Rhinolophus ferrumequinum: one gene and its partner. Each later gene encodes a partner of the first gene's protein in a complex. Links are inferred from orthologs where the notes say so. Each region holds a gene or a part of one and is shown on either strand. Other genes may lie near its edges.

Region 1 (7,742 bases):
AAGTTACCAAGACTGAGAAAGTAAAGATGATCAATACAATCAAAATAGACAAAATACAAATTCAAGAGTTCAACAGCAAAATCCTAGAGTGGAACTCTCTATGCAAATGAGATTCAATGTTATCACTCCTCTTAACCAAAGCCAAATTCAGGACTAGTGAAATTGAAGCTTTTGTATTAGCCAGTCAACATTTCACTCACTTGAAGTCTTCATTTTTTATAAACTCAACAATAATATCCTTCTCCGGTTGAATCTGAAGCATCTTCAAGGTCAAACACAGAAAGGGAGTTGGTTTTATGTTGCCACCATAGACGCCTCCCACAAACCTTAACTCCATGGCTTTATCGACTACAAGTTCAGCTAAAAAAGACAAACAAACAAAAAAAACAAATAGAGTGGCATCTCAGATATACTAGGGCTAAGATTTCCCCAGTTTGAAGTGGAGAGAAGTTAGTTCAAGGTTTGGTGCTGTGAATACTCATCAACAGTTTACTATTAGGAGAACAAGTGTGTATTAATAGTAATAATAATAAATGCAGATGATCATGCATTGTGGAGTACTCTGAGTACCTGCCATGTACTCTGCTAAACATTTCATGTTATCTCATTTAATCTTCACAATAAGCCATGAAGTAAATTACAGCACTGTCCCTGTTTTCAGCTAAGGATAATGAGGGCTAAGAAAGGTTAAGTGACTTGCTCAAGGTCCACAGCCAAAAAGCAGCAAGTCCTGGATTTAAATCTAAGCAGTCTAACTTCAGAGTCCACACTTGTCACCATCATGTAGGGGAAAAACTGCCAAATTAGGAATTAGAAGTGTCAACATAAGAACGTCCAAAGCTGCAGAGAATTTTTGTTTAAGAGTTTATTTGAGCCAAACTGATATGCTGGGAAGCAAAAAAAATCTCAACTGCTCTGGAGAATGAGTTTCACATTTCTTTTTATACATTTAGAACTAAGGAAGTGTGGGAGAAAGCAAGGTGGGGGAATCTCTATGATTGGATTACAGAATAGTTAACAAGATTATGTGCTCCCAAAAAGAGGATTACTCTGACATTTCAAAGCTGTGTTAACCTAGATGCCAACCATAGACAGGGCTTGCTTCAGGCAAAGATAAACCTTTTACTAAAGAAGTTACAATCCTGGGGCATGACTACACACAATGAACTGCCCAGTTAAGAATTTATGATCAGAGCATCCTGTGGAGTTACTAACATGTCAAATCGACTGCAAAGCTACTTTTTCAGTTCAAAAAAAGAAACAATAACAACTCAATAGCTACATAACCTTAAGCAAACCTCATCTACAGAATGGGAATAATAACCTTTCAATGTTGTTGTCAAAATCAACACTAGCTATGTGAAATGAACTAGGGCAAGTCATTTCACCTCTCTTTGGGCCTGTCAGTTCAAATTTAAATAATAAAGGTACAAAGTTTAAGAGCTATAGTGAGAATCAAAGAAGACAATTCAAATAAATGCTAATGCTTACATGACAAACAGCAAATAATAAATGTTAGCTACCATTAATGGGAAATCTTTTTATATACTAGACGTCAAATTAGGATAAATTCTGTATTAATTCATTCAACATTACAGTTGACAGCTTATAGCTGGGTGTTAAGTACTAGAGATACAGATAGAGGGATAAAAAAGAGGGACACAATTATTACTCTTAAAGAGTTTACAGTCTGGCAAGGCAGAAAGCATCGAAAAAGTAACTGAAAGTGTGATGAGTTGAAAGAAGACACAGAATGCAATGAAAATATACCACAAGAGAATACAATCTAGTGTTGGAGGCAAAAGTCCTGAGTTCAGTTTTGGACATATTGAGTTGGCACGTCTTGGAATTAGATTTAGATCTCAGGGAAAGATCTGTGTTGGAGAGATGAATTTGAAGGCATCTACATGTACAGGATGTAACTATGTTATGGAGATCATCCAAGGAAAGAACTATGGAACGAGAAACTGTGCTTCATCCATGGAATCCTAGCTCGTGGTGGTGGCAGCAACAGTAACAGTACATACCGTATTTAACACTGGTAAAAAAAAAAAACTAGCACCACCATTACCATTGATCACTGACTACTTTTTATCAATATATACCTGTAATCATACCAAACACTTTTTATACATTATTGCATTTAATTATTAGAACCACCATTTAATTATTGAGGGAGCGGGAGGCGGGGGTAGGTATTATTATACTCGTTTCACAGTCAAGGAAGCCACGGCTCACTGGAGTAACAGAGCTACTAAAAAGAGGAGCCAGAATTCCAACAAAGATGAAAAGACTACCTGGCAGGCTTCTCTGAAGAACTGGTATTATATTAGGACCCGAACATGGAAATACTGCAGATGGTCCAAGTTTAGGGATAGTAAGATCATGGATTTGGTTCTGGTCACGTTGACTTTCGTTTAATGCCTTCCCGGGTTTCCGAACTTAACACTGGAACCCACCAAGTTATCATTAAACATGAAATGATTCAAAGAACACAACCGAGACACCTTTCGGAATAAGGCCCTATTATCTGTGTACCCAAAGCCCAACACAAGTCTAGGCACATAGTAGGCGCTCAGGAATCTGAATGACAAATTCCCCCCCAGTCTCACCCTCAGGGGGTCAGTCCCGTCGGCGCCCAAACAGGAGAACTGTGCCACAAAGCGGCCGATGGGGAGTCAGTGCGCTTCCACTCACCGGTAAGCCCAAAGCACTCCTCTTTCCAGTACTTGGACTCATAGATTCGCGTCCGAATGATCTTCTCCACCAGATATTGAGGGTTGGTGCCGTGGATGCTGTGCGCATCCTTTACTGTGCGGTTCGCCATTTTAGAACGCCTCCAGTTCTATTTCCGTCGGGTCCTTTAGTACGTCACATCTACGTTAAAAAAAAATCAGAACTGGAGAAAGGCGGAAGAACTCTCATTTTAAAAGCTTAGGCGACCATCTTGAGACCGGAAATGCTGCAGCGTAAGGAACTTTCTTCCGCAAACGGCGTCGCTGATGGTATCAATGATGGACGCTGCACGTTGACGTACGTACGTCATGCATACTCTATTAGGTGGGCGGGACGGGAGGGCTGGCTGGTGACGGAACGTGGAGACAGCCTGAGGGCGGGGCCACGACGTTTGGCGCGAAATTTTATTCTCTCCACCTTCTTTCCATTCCTAGCAAGGAGCCGGCTTCTGCTCCGGCGTGCGGCTCGGTGGCTGCAAGAGGAGTCCATCTGGAGCAGGTGAGAATTGCTGCAGCTCCACGAGCTCCTGAAGCGGAGACTGTGGGAAGTGGAGGGCTTGCGCCTAGCTTCAGGAAGTTTCGGCGCCCGGTGAGTGTGGCGTCCGGCCGGCTGGAGGGGAACCTGAGCCGCGGGAACTGAGGAAGTTGTCCTTTGTAGACTCAGTCATTGATTCATCCAGCAGATATTTACTAAGCCACCGTTAAGTGCCAGGCACTGTTCTAAGCCCATTAGGAGCGTTCCTTTCCCACATCCCGAATGTTGAAAGTCTTCTCGCTACACCAGGGACTGCAAGTTTTTCAGTGGGGTAGCCGGAAGCCAACAGCATGGAAGCATGAGCATTGCCACCTTCAGCGTCCTGAGACTCTCAGTAATGATCTTAATCATCCCTTCTATCTGCATTGCCCTTGTGAAGCATCGCATCTGTTCCTCCTTTGAGTCGTAGTGTAGCAAGCACCACCGAGAAGTCGGAGCTGTAGAAGTTATTACCCCATTTTACGGATGTAGCAATTGCTCCTGGAGACAGATCAGGTCTAGGTCGCTTTTTGTGGCTGAGCGGTTTGGGCTCCTACCCAGGTCTTTTTCCAGTTGAGCTGCTCTTAACTGCTGGTCACTCATCCACTCCACCTTTCCAGGAGAGAACTCTAATGACGCCTTTTCTACTTTCTAACCCTAGAATGCCAAGGCTTTCTGTTTTGACAGTTGGAAAAAGCACTGGGTTTAGGCATAAGATGCAAGATTCTTATCCTGGTGCGCCATCTGTAAACCTGCAATAATTAAATATGTTAGTTTTTTATTTTAATAGTCTGTAAAAATGGGTACTGGGTGCTTGTGGACTTTAGAAGGTTTATGAATCCCCTGAAATGAATGCAAAATTTTTGTGTGAATTATATGTGAGTTTAATAACATTCATCAAATTAGTAAAATAAAAAGAACCTACTGCCTCTTCCAAATAGAGCAAGGGATTAAGGAAGTGGGAGTGAATTTACCATTTTGCATTTTTTTACTTAATCCCCAGTAATCCTAGAGCAGAGTTTGGCACACAGCGGGAGGTTAATAAATATTGGTTGAATAAAAGGAAGTTTCTGTTATTATCTCACTTTATGGGTAAGGAAATGGAGACCCATTTGTTCCCTCAGTCAGTGTCTGGAAAGCCTGAATTATTATAATAAGCACACCAGAAGCAAGTTCTCTCAGGCATATATTTAACATTATATACTGTAACATAAGATGAAGTGGTTAAGAGCAGTCATTGGAATCTGGTTGCTCAGGGGTTGAATTAAGACTGTGCCATCCTGTATAACATTGGGACAAGTTATCATCTTGAAGTTGATAATGGCATCTACCTTTCATTCAGCAAATATTTATTATTGAGTGCCAATGTGCACTTAGTACTAAGTACTAGCATTGTTCTAGGATTATTGTGAGGATTAAATGAGATAAATTTAGCAAGAGTTTTGGCTCAATAAACATCTGCTATCATTATTTTTACTGCAACTCCCTTACCTGTTTTTCTTGGGTGTGACCCCTGGGCTGGGTAGTATGTGTGTTCCAGATATCTGGTATCTGCAATCCTGAGAGCCTGTAGTGGGTATCTCCTGGAAGCCAAAGCCTTTGCTAGGCCAAATCAGGTCTGTCTTCCCACCCCACTCATCACGCCTCTTGGGGACTATTTCTGCTGATGGTGGATGGGATGAAATGCTGGGTGGAGGGTAAGAAAGTGAAAAACAATACAAAGAGGCCTGACATCTACTATGATTTCCATATGCTGCCGCTTCAGAAGGACTCCTGATTAATTTTTTGAACTTTAACATACATACAGAAAAGTACACAAATCAGAAATGTGTAGCTCAATGCATTTTTTAATTGTTTAAATTTTTTACTTTATAATCTCTGAGCTAATCTGCCAGTTTTAGAAATAGCATGTCAGTGAGTTTTCTTAAAAAGAACATACCTATGTAACTACCATCTAGTTCAAGAAATAACATGACCAGCATCTCAAATGCACCCCGCGTCCCCAACTGTGCACCTTTTCAGTTACCTTGGTTACCTTCTATTCTCACTGCTAACACCAGAGTTTACTTCTACCTCTTTTTGAACTTTATATAAATGGAGTCAATATAGTGTGTATTCTTTTGCTGATTTTTTAGCTCATTGTTATTTTGTGAGATTTTCCCCATTTTGTGTGCAGTTGTAGCTGGTTTAATTTCATTGCTTTATAATGCTGCTATGACCATTCTGGCTCATGTTTTTTGATGATGTGTTTTTTTGTGGGTGTATTCTGTTGGAATTGCTGGATCATAGGGTATGCTTGAATAGATACCTCCAATTTTCCAGAGTAGTGTTACCAATTGACACGCCCGCCAGCAGCAGTGTATGACACTTCTGGCTGCTCTACATCCTTACCACATTTGGTATTGTCCTAATTATTTACATTCATTTCATTCACTTTTTCATTCACCTATTACGAGCCAAGTCCTAACCTAGGCCCTAGGGACACAGTTATGAACAAGACAGACAAGGTTCCAAGATCCCTGCTCTTTTGGAGGTTAACATTCTCATGTGGGAAATACAATAAATAAAGTAACATAGTGGTTATTGCTTTGATAATAACGTGGTATAATGGAACACGATCCCGAGGGGCAGTATAAAGTGTGGGGGGGTAACTTTCCATTGGGTATCAGTGAAGGCCTCTCTGAGGATTTTCCTCGCAGTTGAGCCCTGAGCCATCCCTGCAAATCTTTGCAGGAAGAGGAGAGGACGGCAATTGCCTAAGTCTGAGGGCACTAACAGCCTTGGTCTGTTTGAGATTTGGAAAAGCAGGCCTGAAGCAGGTTGTGCAGTCCAGACCCAGATAGTCTTCTTTCTATACCCCCTGCCTGCTCAGCCTAGGGTGAATCACCCACCTTTGCATATATGCATACACAGTAGTCCCCCCATATCCACAGTTTCGCTTTTCGAGGTTTGTTAACCTGCATCAGCTGCAGTCTGAAAATATTAAATGGGAAATTCCAGAAATAAAAATTCATAAGTTTTACATTGCACATGATACTGAGTAATGTGATGAAATCTTGAGCCGTCCTCCTGTTCTATCCCGCTCAGGACTTGAATCGTTCCTGTGTCCAATGTTGTCTATGCTATATGTGCTAACTGGTTAGCCAGATCCGTTTATCAGATTGGTCACCAGCTATTTTGAAAGAAAGACCACAGTCACATACCTTTTATTACAATATATTGTTATAATTGTTCCGTTTGATGATTAGTTGTTAATCTCTTACTGTGCCTAAGTTATAAATTAAACTTTATCGTAGGTATGTATGTATAGGAGAAAACAGTATACATAGGGTTCAGTATCCACGATTTCAGGCATCTACTGGGGTATTTAAATGTATCCCCTGAGGATGAGTGGGAACTGTACTGGTTTCATTGAACACAGCTCATGATCTAGAAAAGGAATGTTAAATTTTATCTTGACTTGGTTTTGAAGGAGGATGCCTGCTTTGTTAAGCTAAAATATGATCTGGATTTAGAAGAATTGAGAGTATGTATTTGATGTATTTGATGCGTGAGTACCTTATTGATATGGAGGTAGTCCTTCTGTATGCCAATTTTTGGTTTGAAAAAATGAGATCATTGTGCCAGTGTAACAAAATGTCATAGTCAAAGTGACAAATCAGGCCATTTATCTTACAGTTAGATTATTTAAAAGTTGTAGAAAGTTTGCTGAGAGATACCAACTTGCCATAAAACACTCTCCCTGATATTTCGATTTTTTTTTTTAAATGACAGAGCTTAGTGAGTACTTTGAATTACTTGCATCTTTTATCTGTATCCATCTATTTTGCCTGATTCATCGAGGAAAGGTGAAAAGTTTTAAGTTTACTTCTGAACAGTTCTGTGTTACATGAACCATTAAAAGGAACATATATTGAAGGTAAGTTAGTGTTATATATTTCCTTGAACATTTATTGAATCTAACACTTTTACTAACTTTTACCAAAAGATTATATGAATCCAAATTCATTTTTTACGTAAGCACAAGTCTTCTACTTGTTTTTACTCATCAATCTTCTTTGCTGTTTGTTCATTTCTACAATGTACTTAATTGAAAATAGATTGATTTTAAAAGTACTCTATTTTGAATTATACTCTTGATGTTCTTAATAGCAATCATTCAGACATCATTTGTAATCTGTGTATTTACTCGTGACTCAGTATCTTCCCTTCTTTTTGCTAACTAGTTTCCACAAAGTAAACTAAAAATTACCTTTTTTAAAGGCAGAAAATCTTATGGGTTATAATGTTACCAAGTAGAATGTAGGACATAATGCTACTGAACTTTAGGAAACCAGCTTGTTTAATCAGGATGTTAACATGCTATTCTAATTCTGTTGTTTTCAACATAGACGGAAATTATTGGTCCCCTTATCAGTAATTCAGAGTAATTGAGTCAGACTGTATTTAAAAAAAATTTTTTCACCCCAGTTTTGTCCAATTTTAGTTCCACA
Region 2 (7,502 bases), on another chromosome or scaffold:
TCTCCAGATGTGCAGGCAGGGTTGACCCACTTGGCAGTAGCCCCTAGATGCGTGATTCTGTTTCCAAAGCTGTTGCACATTTAACTCCGTGTGTCTGGCTGGGAAGGGCTTTGGGTTTAGACACTTTCCCACCTATTAGGGTTTGGAAAGAGCGACTGGCATCTTGCCTTCCATGGTTCCTACTCACAGCTCTACTTCTGCTGGCAGCTCTGTCCTGGGCTCCACTCTCCCCCAGCACATGCTGCAACTGTTGCAACCTGGCCCAAAGCTGAACCCTGAGGTCGCTGTCGAGTTTGCCTGGTGCCTTCACTATATCATCTGCAGGTAACGCAGAGGCCAGTTGGGAAAGTGCCACAGACCTCCCCCAGGGCTCCTTTCATGACACTCGGGTTTTTGAACTTGGGTTTCTGGAATTGTGTTTTCTTCCTTCCATGGTCTTCTCTTCTTGGAACCCAGGAAACCCACACACCTAGGCTGTTTGCCAACTTAAAGGTGGGATTGGCTGAGTAGTGACTACTTGCTTCCTATTGCCCAGCCAGGTGAACAATGCCCTGCTCATCACCCATGGGGCTCTGTCCACTCTGGGGCTGCTGCTCTTGGACTTGGCGGGGGCTGTCCAGAGATCCGAGAATGCAGGACTGGAGCTGGTAGGTGAAGAGGACAGGTCCAAATCTCTGCTACCTTTCTTCCTACTCTGCTCCTCCTCCAGGGTGCAGGTAACCCCTTCTAACTTAAACCTGATCCCCAACTTGTTGTTACAGCTGGTGTGTCCTGTGCTCCGGTGTCTAAGCAACTTGCTAACAGAGGCTGTAGTGGAGGCTGTGGGAGGGCAAGTGCAGCTCAGAGATGAGCGTGTTGTGGCTGCCTTATTTATCCTTCTGCAGTTCTTTCTCCAGAAACAGCCCAGCCTGCTTCCTGAGGGCCTCTGGCTCCTTAACAACCTCACCGGTATGCACCGTAAAGTCTGCTAGGCCTAGATCTTGAGATCCTGGGAAGACTTCCTTGTGGCTTGGGCTGAGGTGGGTGGAATTAGGAAGGGGTGGTTTCAGGCCTCAATTAGACTTCACCCTGACATTTTCCCTTCCAGCAAACAGCCCTAGCTTCTGTACCTCCTTGCTTTCCCTGGATCTGATTGAGCCCCTCTTGCAGTTGTTGCCAGTATCTAATGTGGTGAGCGTATTGGTAGGTATTGGAGCCATCCGAGTCTAAGGTCTAGTGGCCCAAGTATAAAGAGTGGGAGTTCAGAAGTGCCCTTAGCTGAGAGCTGGCAGCTGGTACGTTGTGGATGGCTTCAGAGTCTGACCATTCTGGGCGTGAGTCCCTAAACTGTGGTTTACAAGTTACTAACCTCGGGCAAATCAGTTAACCACCTTATCTTTAGTTTCCTCATTTATAATTGGGAATAGTAATCCTACCTGAGGGTAGCTGTGTAGATTACAGAACATGCATATGCATATAAAATTACTTAGCACAGTGCCTGGGGCATGTGGTCAGCACTCCATATATTTTTTGCTGTACTTGGCTTTCATCCTCTGTGGGGACATACTGTCTGCAGGTGCTCACAGTTCTGTGCAACGTTGCAGAGAAGGGTCCTGCTTATTGCCAGCATCTGTGGCCAGGACCCTTGCTCCCCTCCTTGCTGGAAACGCTGGCCTTCTCTGACACTGAAGTAGTAGGCCAGAGTTTGGAGCTGCTACAACTGCTATTCCTCTATCGACCAGAGGTGCGTTTCTGGCCCTGGGCGCTAACCCCCATTCTGAAGCCTCTGGTCTCACCATCTCATCAGTCCTAACTATAGTCACTTTTCTGGGTCTGGCTAGCCTATGTGGGCTCCGGGTCTGAACCTCCACCTTCTTGTTGGGAATGCACCTCTCCCTAGATAAGCCATTAGGGTAACCCATTAGGCTGTGGGAATTGAGTGTTAGGGCATAGGGACCCAGGTGTTGAATCCTTTTCTTCCCTATCCTCAGGCTGCCCAGGACTTCCTGCAGCAATCAGGGCTGCATGCTCTGGAAAGGCATGAGGAGGAGGCCCAGCTCCAGGATCGAGTGCATGCTCTCCGGCAGACAGCTCTTCATGGGTGACGTGGCTCCTCCATGTCACTTACTCCACTCCTTCCTGTCCACCCCCCACCAGCTTCCTTGCCTAGGGAGCCCCTTTTGGGGGTTAGGACCATAATGAGGCATCATGTTCTCTGCTCCCACACCTAAACCTAAGCCAAGGCCTTTGGACCCCAGCTCCTCTTCACCTGGCACTGTCTAGGCAGAAGGACCAGAAGGAAATCAGTATGGCCCACTTATTCTGGGGCCCTGGAATCTCTTTCTCCGTTTTGGTTTGCTCCAGCAGCTGGCGGCTTTTGATGGGACAGAATAAAGTTTTATTTTTATAATAAACTGCTTTGCCTCAGTGGTTGTATGATAAAGGGTAGAGAGTGGAATGAGGAAAAGCACATCCTGAGAGCATCTTACAGCACAAGCTTTATAGAGAACAGAAGAATACATTTTTCCATTGTAGTCAGTGCAGCAGAGCCCACCCAGGCTGTGGGGTTGCTGCTCAGTCCTCAGTGGAAGCTTCAGGCTTTGCCACTTAGCACATTCTCCAGGGCTCTGGTTACCTGATCAGCACTGAAGTTATTCAGAGAGACATTCTTTTCTTGGCCAAATGCTGGGGAGAGAGGGAGGTCACTAAGTATCCACTCTGCACGTGGGGCTACCAAAGTATAACAAGTCTTTGTCATCAACTTATAGATTGGAAAGGTAGTAAAGGTATGCCTAGAATTTATCCAGTGGGTCTCAAACACATCTAGGAAGGCCAGGTCCAACTAGAACTTTGGCTGATTGTGGGTGGCCACATGGTAAGGAAGGTGTTTCAGGGAAGTTTCTAGGGGCTCGGTAGGCATTTATTATTAACCATTGATTGGAGCAGTGCATGGAAGCCTTGGCTGGTGCTCATTCTGTGGCTCCCATAGTCCATCTAGGACAATACATTAGTTATTTGAGTCCATCTCCTCTAGTCTACTGGCTTTTGTTAAGAGAACCTTTTTCCTCCTCCTGTTTTTAGTGCCTGGTATTTCTATAGACCTCCACTGTTAGAACCAATCTGCCTTAGGTGTGACTCCCCTCTTCCTCCAGACATTCTTTGGGCAAGATGTAGTTAAAAGTGGTGAAAATACCACTAATACGATAAACATTTTTTGCCTGCCTACTATGTGTCAGGCAACAAGATAATTTTCAGATTGCGGTAAAATGAAAGGTAATATGATAAAAAAGGGTCTGGGGGTGATGTTACATAACTGGTCAGGGAATACCTTTCTGAGGAGATGATATATAAGCTCAGAGCTGAATAATAAAAAGTCAGCCATGGATATCTGGCAGAAGTGCATTGTAGAAAGGGGGAACAAAAATAAAGGCTCAAACCTGTTCTATCCAATTACATAACCTTAGGTATGTTCTGTAAAATTTTTGATTCAGGTTTCTAATTTCTACAATAACACCCCCTCATATAGTGAATGAAGATTAAATGAGATTTAGGCAGCAAAGCACCACAGTCTAGCAGTAAGTGCTCAACACAATCATTATTTTAGGTTTTCCTTATTGAGATTGTAACACTACCTGGATCAGCACTGCCCAGGTAGTGCCGGTCCTTCCAGACGTGGAAGGACTTACATTGAAGAGAATTGACCAGCATCTCTTCTCCCATATCGGAAACCTGTTCTGAATTACAAAGTGACAGCTCCTGTCCCTACGCAGGACCGGGCCCGCCTCCCCACACTGTTAACCCAGGACACAAAGCATTCTATAGCTCTAAGAATGTAAATTTCCTTATTGTCAGCAAGGTCAAAAGCAAGGCCGAAGTCTGAGTTCCAGTCTCCACACGTTTATGCTTGACCTTGCGCGGCCCTTTTTCTTCTCAAGTCCTTGTTTCCCCACGGGGGTCCCGTATCCCCCGAGTCCGGCACTCACCGTAGCGGGCCCAGAGCTTCGGCTGTACATCGGAGCACTCGCGGATTAGGATGGGTAGGTCGGGGTTCGCCTTCTTCAGCTCCACATAGCGTTTCTCGATGAAGTCCCTGCGGGGCCGGAGAAAGCGCCCCGCGCGTGCTGTGTGGGCGCGGGCCTCCCCAAATATCTGGGAGGTCGAGGTCGTGACCCCGGCGCCCCGAAGCCCGCCCGCCTCACCACGCGCTGCTCCTCACCTGACGCCCTGGCTGCCCGGCGAGCGCTGGCACAAGTGGATGCGAATCTCTCGTAGGGCCAGCTTGGCACTCACCCCTCGACTCGCCGCAGCGACCGCCATCTCTGCTGCTATCTAATCCCCTGGTCAGGTCTTCCAGCCAAATTCTCCAGAAGGACCAATCGCGGATCCTCCAGGCCCCGCGATAGGTTGGTTGAGGTAGGGGGCGGGTCAAGTTTAGCCAATGCCATAAAAGCATTGTAAGGCACCAGTCGCGTTTCCTCCAATTTCGCGTCGGATGGGCGGGTTCCGAAAGGCTGCGGAACGCAAGGCACTGTGGGTCGCTTTCGGAGGTGCATTGTGGGGAAAAGGCTGTCGCTACCGTGTTGTTGTTGGAGTCTCCGTCCTAGCTGGCGTTGAAACACCGCGGACGAAATGCCGGAACGAGATAGTAAGTCTCAGGTTATCTGCCCTTTCTACCCTGCGGGACTCGGGACACTTGGCGGGTTATTTTGGCCTCAGAACTTAGGCCAGGGTGGAGAAGGGCCCGGAGTGACGCTTGGAGCCTGGAGAAGCCTTTGGGCCCCGAGGCAGGGCGGGCAGCTCCAGACTCTGTCCCTAATCCTCGTCTTTTCCCCGAGTGACGACAGGTGGGGTTTATCTGTGAACTTGACCCCTCATCCCCCTGCCCCATATCACTTAGTCTTGGGTTGCGTCAATTTATCTTTCACGTAGTATCTTAGATGTCATCTTCAGGAAGTCTTTGCTGACCCTCCAGCGCTGGTTTAGGGGCCCCCTCCTGTGGACTCCCTACTATTCACTGCTATATCCCCAACTTTTGCATGGGACCTCACACAAAAGAGATTGATTAATGTCAATTCATTTTCTTAGGCGAGCCGTTCTCCAACCCTTTGGCCCCAGATGGCCACGATGTGGACGATCCTCACTCCTTCCACCAGTGAGTGTTTTGATCTAGAACCATGGCAATGAGTTGGGCAATGAGTAGAGTGGTGGAGGTGATGGTAAAAGAATTCTGAATGTCTCCTCAGCAAGGATGATCAAAAAAACTTTGTACTACTTCCCCCTTTAACTGGATCAAGTCAATTGCATAACAGTATTAGAGGGGAAATTCTGGCATGGAGAGTGCTAGTATTTAAAGTTGATGTTTAATTACACATTACATAGGAATTAATTCTTGTAGAAAATGAAAACATCAGAAATAAGGGTAAAATTCGCTTTGATCAACATCCCCAATTCCGGTCCTGTTCTTAGAGGTAACCATTGTAACCTTTTTCATGTGTAACTTTTCTCTCCCTATTTTTTTAATGCATTTATATACATACATGTATATCTGAGGAAAATATCTCATTGCTTCGTGAGTTAAAATAATTAAATTAAATTAAATGGTGTTATATTGTACGTATGTTATTTGGCTGCTTGCTTTTTTCTTTTGCTAAGACCAGGCTCAGCAGGCCAATGAAGAGGCCCAGTTGGAAGGGGGCTAAACGGAATCTGACTAAAGTTTGGTCAAGGAGTGAGTCCTTGTCACTCTTGTACTAATTAAAATTATCTCTTGTACTATCAATGCTATCTGCCCCACATTTAGAAAACACTGTCACAGATTATTTAGTCTCCAGTTAATGGACATTTAGGTTGTTAGCAAGTTTTGTTTTCAAAGCTATAATTGAACCTCCTTTTTATACACATGCCAGTAATTGGTAATGTGTAGATGAATGGAGTTGCTGGGTTATAGGAAATGCACACTGAAATTTTAATAGATATTGCTAACTTGCCCTCCAGTAGGCTATGCTGACTTACATTCCCATCAGCGGTATAAAACCTTCCCAAATTCTTATGCATACTTAATTTATCAAACTTTTTAATAACACTGATGCATTAAAAGTGGCATGTCTTTGTTTTAATTTGTAGTTCCCTGATTTCCAGTACAGTTAACCATGTTTTTTACATATTCCTTTTCTAGTTCTTACTGGGTACTAATTTTTAAAATCTTTGTGCCTTCTAGATCAAAACTCACCAATGAAGACTTCAGGAAACTTCTCATGACCCCAAGGGCTGCACCTACCTCTGCACCGCCCTCTAAATCACGTCATCATGAGTAAGCTTTGGGGTGATTCAAGCTGTCTCCCATCTCATTACAGAAAATCTACTAATCTAGATGTCTTAGGAACTGGAAGGCTAGTTCTTTTTTGAAGTCTGTGGTTCTGATTCTCTTCCTCTGGAGATTGAAGCTCCAGTGGAGACTGGCATGTTCTAGGGTCTCACTTTTTCTCAGAGTATGTTCCGTGGACCACTTGTACTAGAATTGCTACTGGTACTTAAGTGGGCAGATTTCAGGGCCCATTCCAGTCCCCACAGACTCAGATTCTGGGACAGATATTTGGGAATACATAATATTAACAGTCTTTCAGGTAGTTGTGATGCTTTCTCTCTAAAGTTTGAGAACCACTCAATACAAATATTGACATGGATCTCTGACCTATTGAAACTGTTGCTTTGGTCAGTGTTCTAGACCTTTCTTCAGTTCTTAAGGCCACTTCTTGGGATTTCTGGGGCTGTGGCAATATTTTACTAATATTTGCTAATATTTCTCTTCTAGGATGCCAAGGGAGTACAATGAGGATGAAGACCCAGCTGCACGAAGGAGGAAAAAGAAAAGGTGAAGGAAGGATGGAGGACTGTTGGGTTTTAATGTGGATAGTGTTTGTGGGAAAGGAATAGGGGCTAGTTATGAGGCTAGAGACTGAGGTTTTCCTTTATTCTCTAAAGGTTTTCCGCTTTCATAGTGGACAGGAGTGATATATGGAGTGGCCGTTTAAGGGTTTGAAGTCAGTCTGTGGTGTTTTAATCTCATCTTGACCAGTTTCTAGCTGGATAACTTTGGGCATTTTGCTTAACCTCTCTAATCCTCAGTATTCTCCCTGGTAAAAAGGAGATAGTGATGATAATTCTTAGCAGATTGTCATGAGGGTCAACTGTGATAATGCATGTAATGTGATAGTGCCTGGCAGATAGTAACCACCGAATAAGTCTTGGCTGCCATCATCATCATTTACATGATACCAAACTTTCTGGACCTTTACTTTGCTTTTTCCTCTCTTCTTGGGGAGGACCGGCAAGGAACAATTTATTTTTTGTTGAAACTTGGAAGGTGATAAAAAAATCAGATGGCTTCATGGTTGCTGTAGGGAAAAGTCTCATACCTGTAAACACTCAATGATATAGAGTTGGGTGGCATTAACGAATTCTAAAGTGACAGATGGAGTGCCCTGAGGTAGCATTGGAACAATGTATCTGTGAGCCGGAAGATG

Evidence for each region.
Region 2: PRPF38A (region 1) and IK share a complex: the UniProt entries of both Homo sapiens proteins name them as parts of the spliceosome B complex. The link is inferred for Rhinolophus ferrumequinum from reciprocal best matches to the Homo sapiens genes PRPF38A and IK.

The regions. Positions count from the first base shown.
Region 1 is NC_046292.1:37,401,375-37,409,116, reverse strand, and holds the start of PRPF38A (pre-mRNA-splicing factor 38A), read right to left. Parts: upstream 3,014-7,742; 5' UTR 2,828-3,013; coding exon 2,698-2,827; exon of another isoform or gene 2,613-2,697; intron 361-2,612; coding exon 201-360; intron 1-200. UniProt on the Homo sapiens protein: Involved in pre-mRNA splicing as a component of the spliceosome.
Region 2 is NC_046307.1:15,183,130-15,190,631, forward strand, and holds the start of IK (protein Red), read left to right. Parts: upstream 1-4,486; 5' UTR 4,487-4,608; coding exon 4,609-4,624; intron 4,625-5,064; coding exon 5,065-5,131; intron 5,132-6,196; coding exon 6,197-6,289; intron 6,290-6,790; coding exon 6,791-6,850; intron 6,851-7,502. Other genes in the region: TMCO6 (transmembrane and coiled-coil domain-containing protein 6), read left to right, coding at 190-324, 536-647, 762-948, 1,088-1,182, 1,556-1,723, 1,971-2,084; NDUFA2 (NADH dehydrogenase [ubiquinone] 1 alpha subcomplex subunit 2), read right to left, coding at 2,573-2,664, 3,963-4,069, 4,196-4,296. UniProt on the Homo sapiens protein: Involved in pre-mRNA splicing as a component of the spliceosome. Auxiliary spliceosomal protein that regulates selection of alternative splice sites in a small set of target pre-mRNA species. Required for normal mitotic cell cycle progression.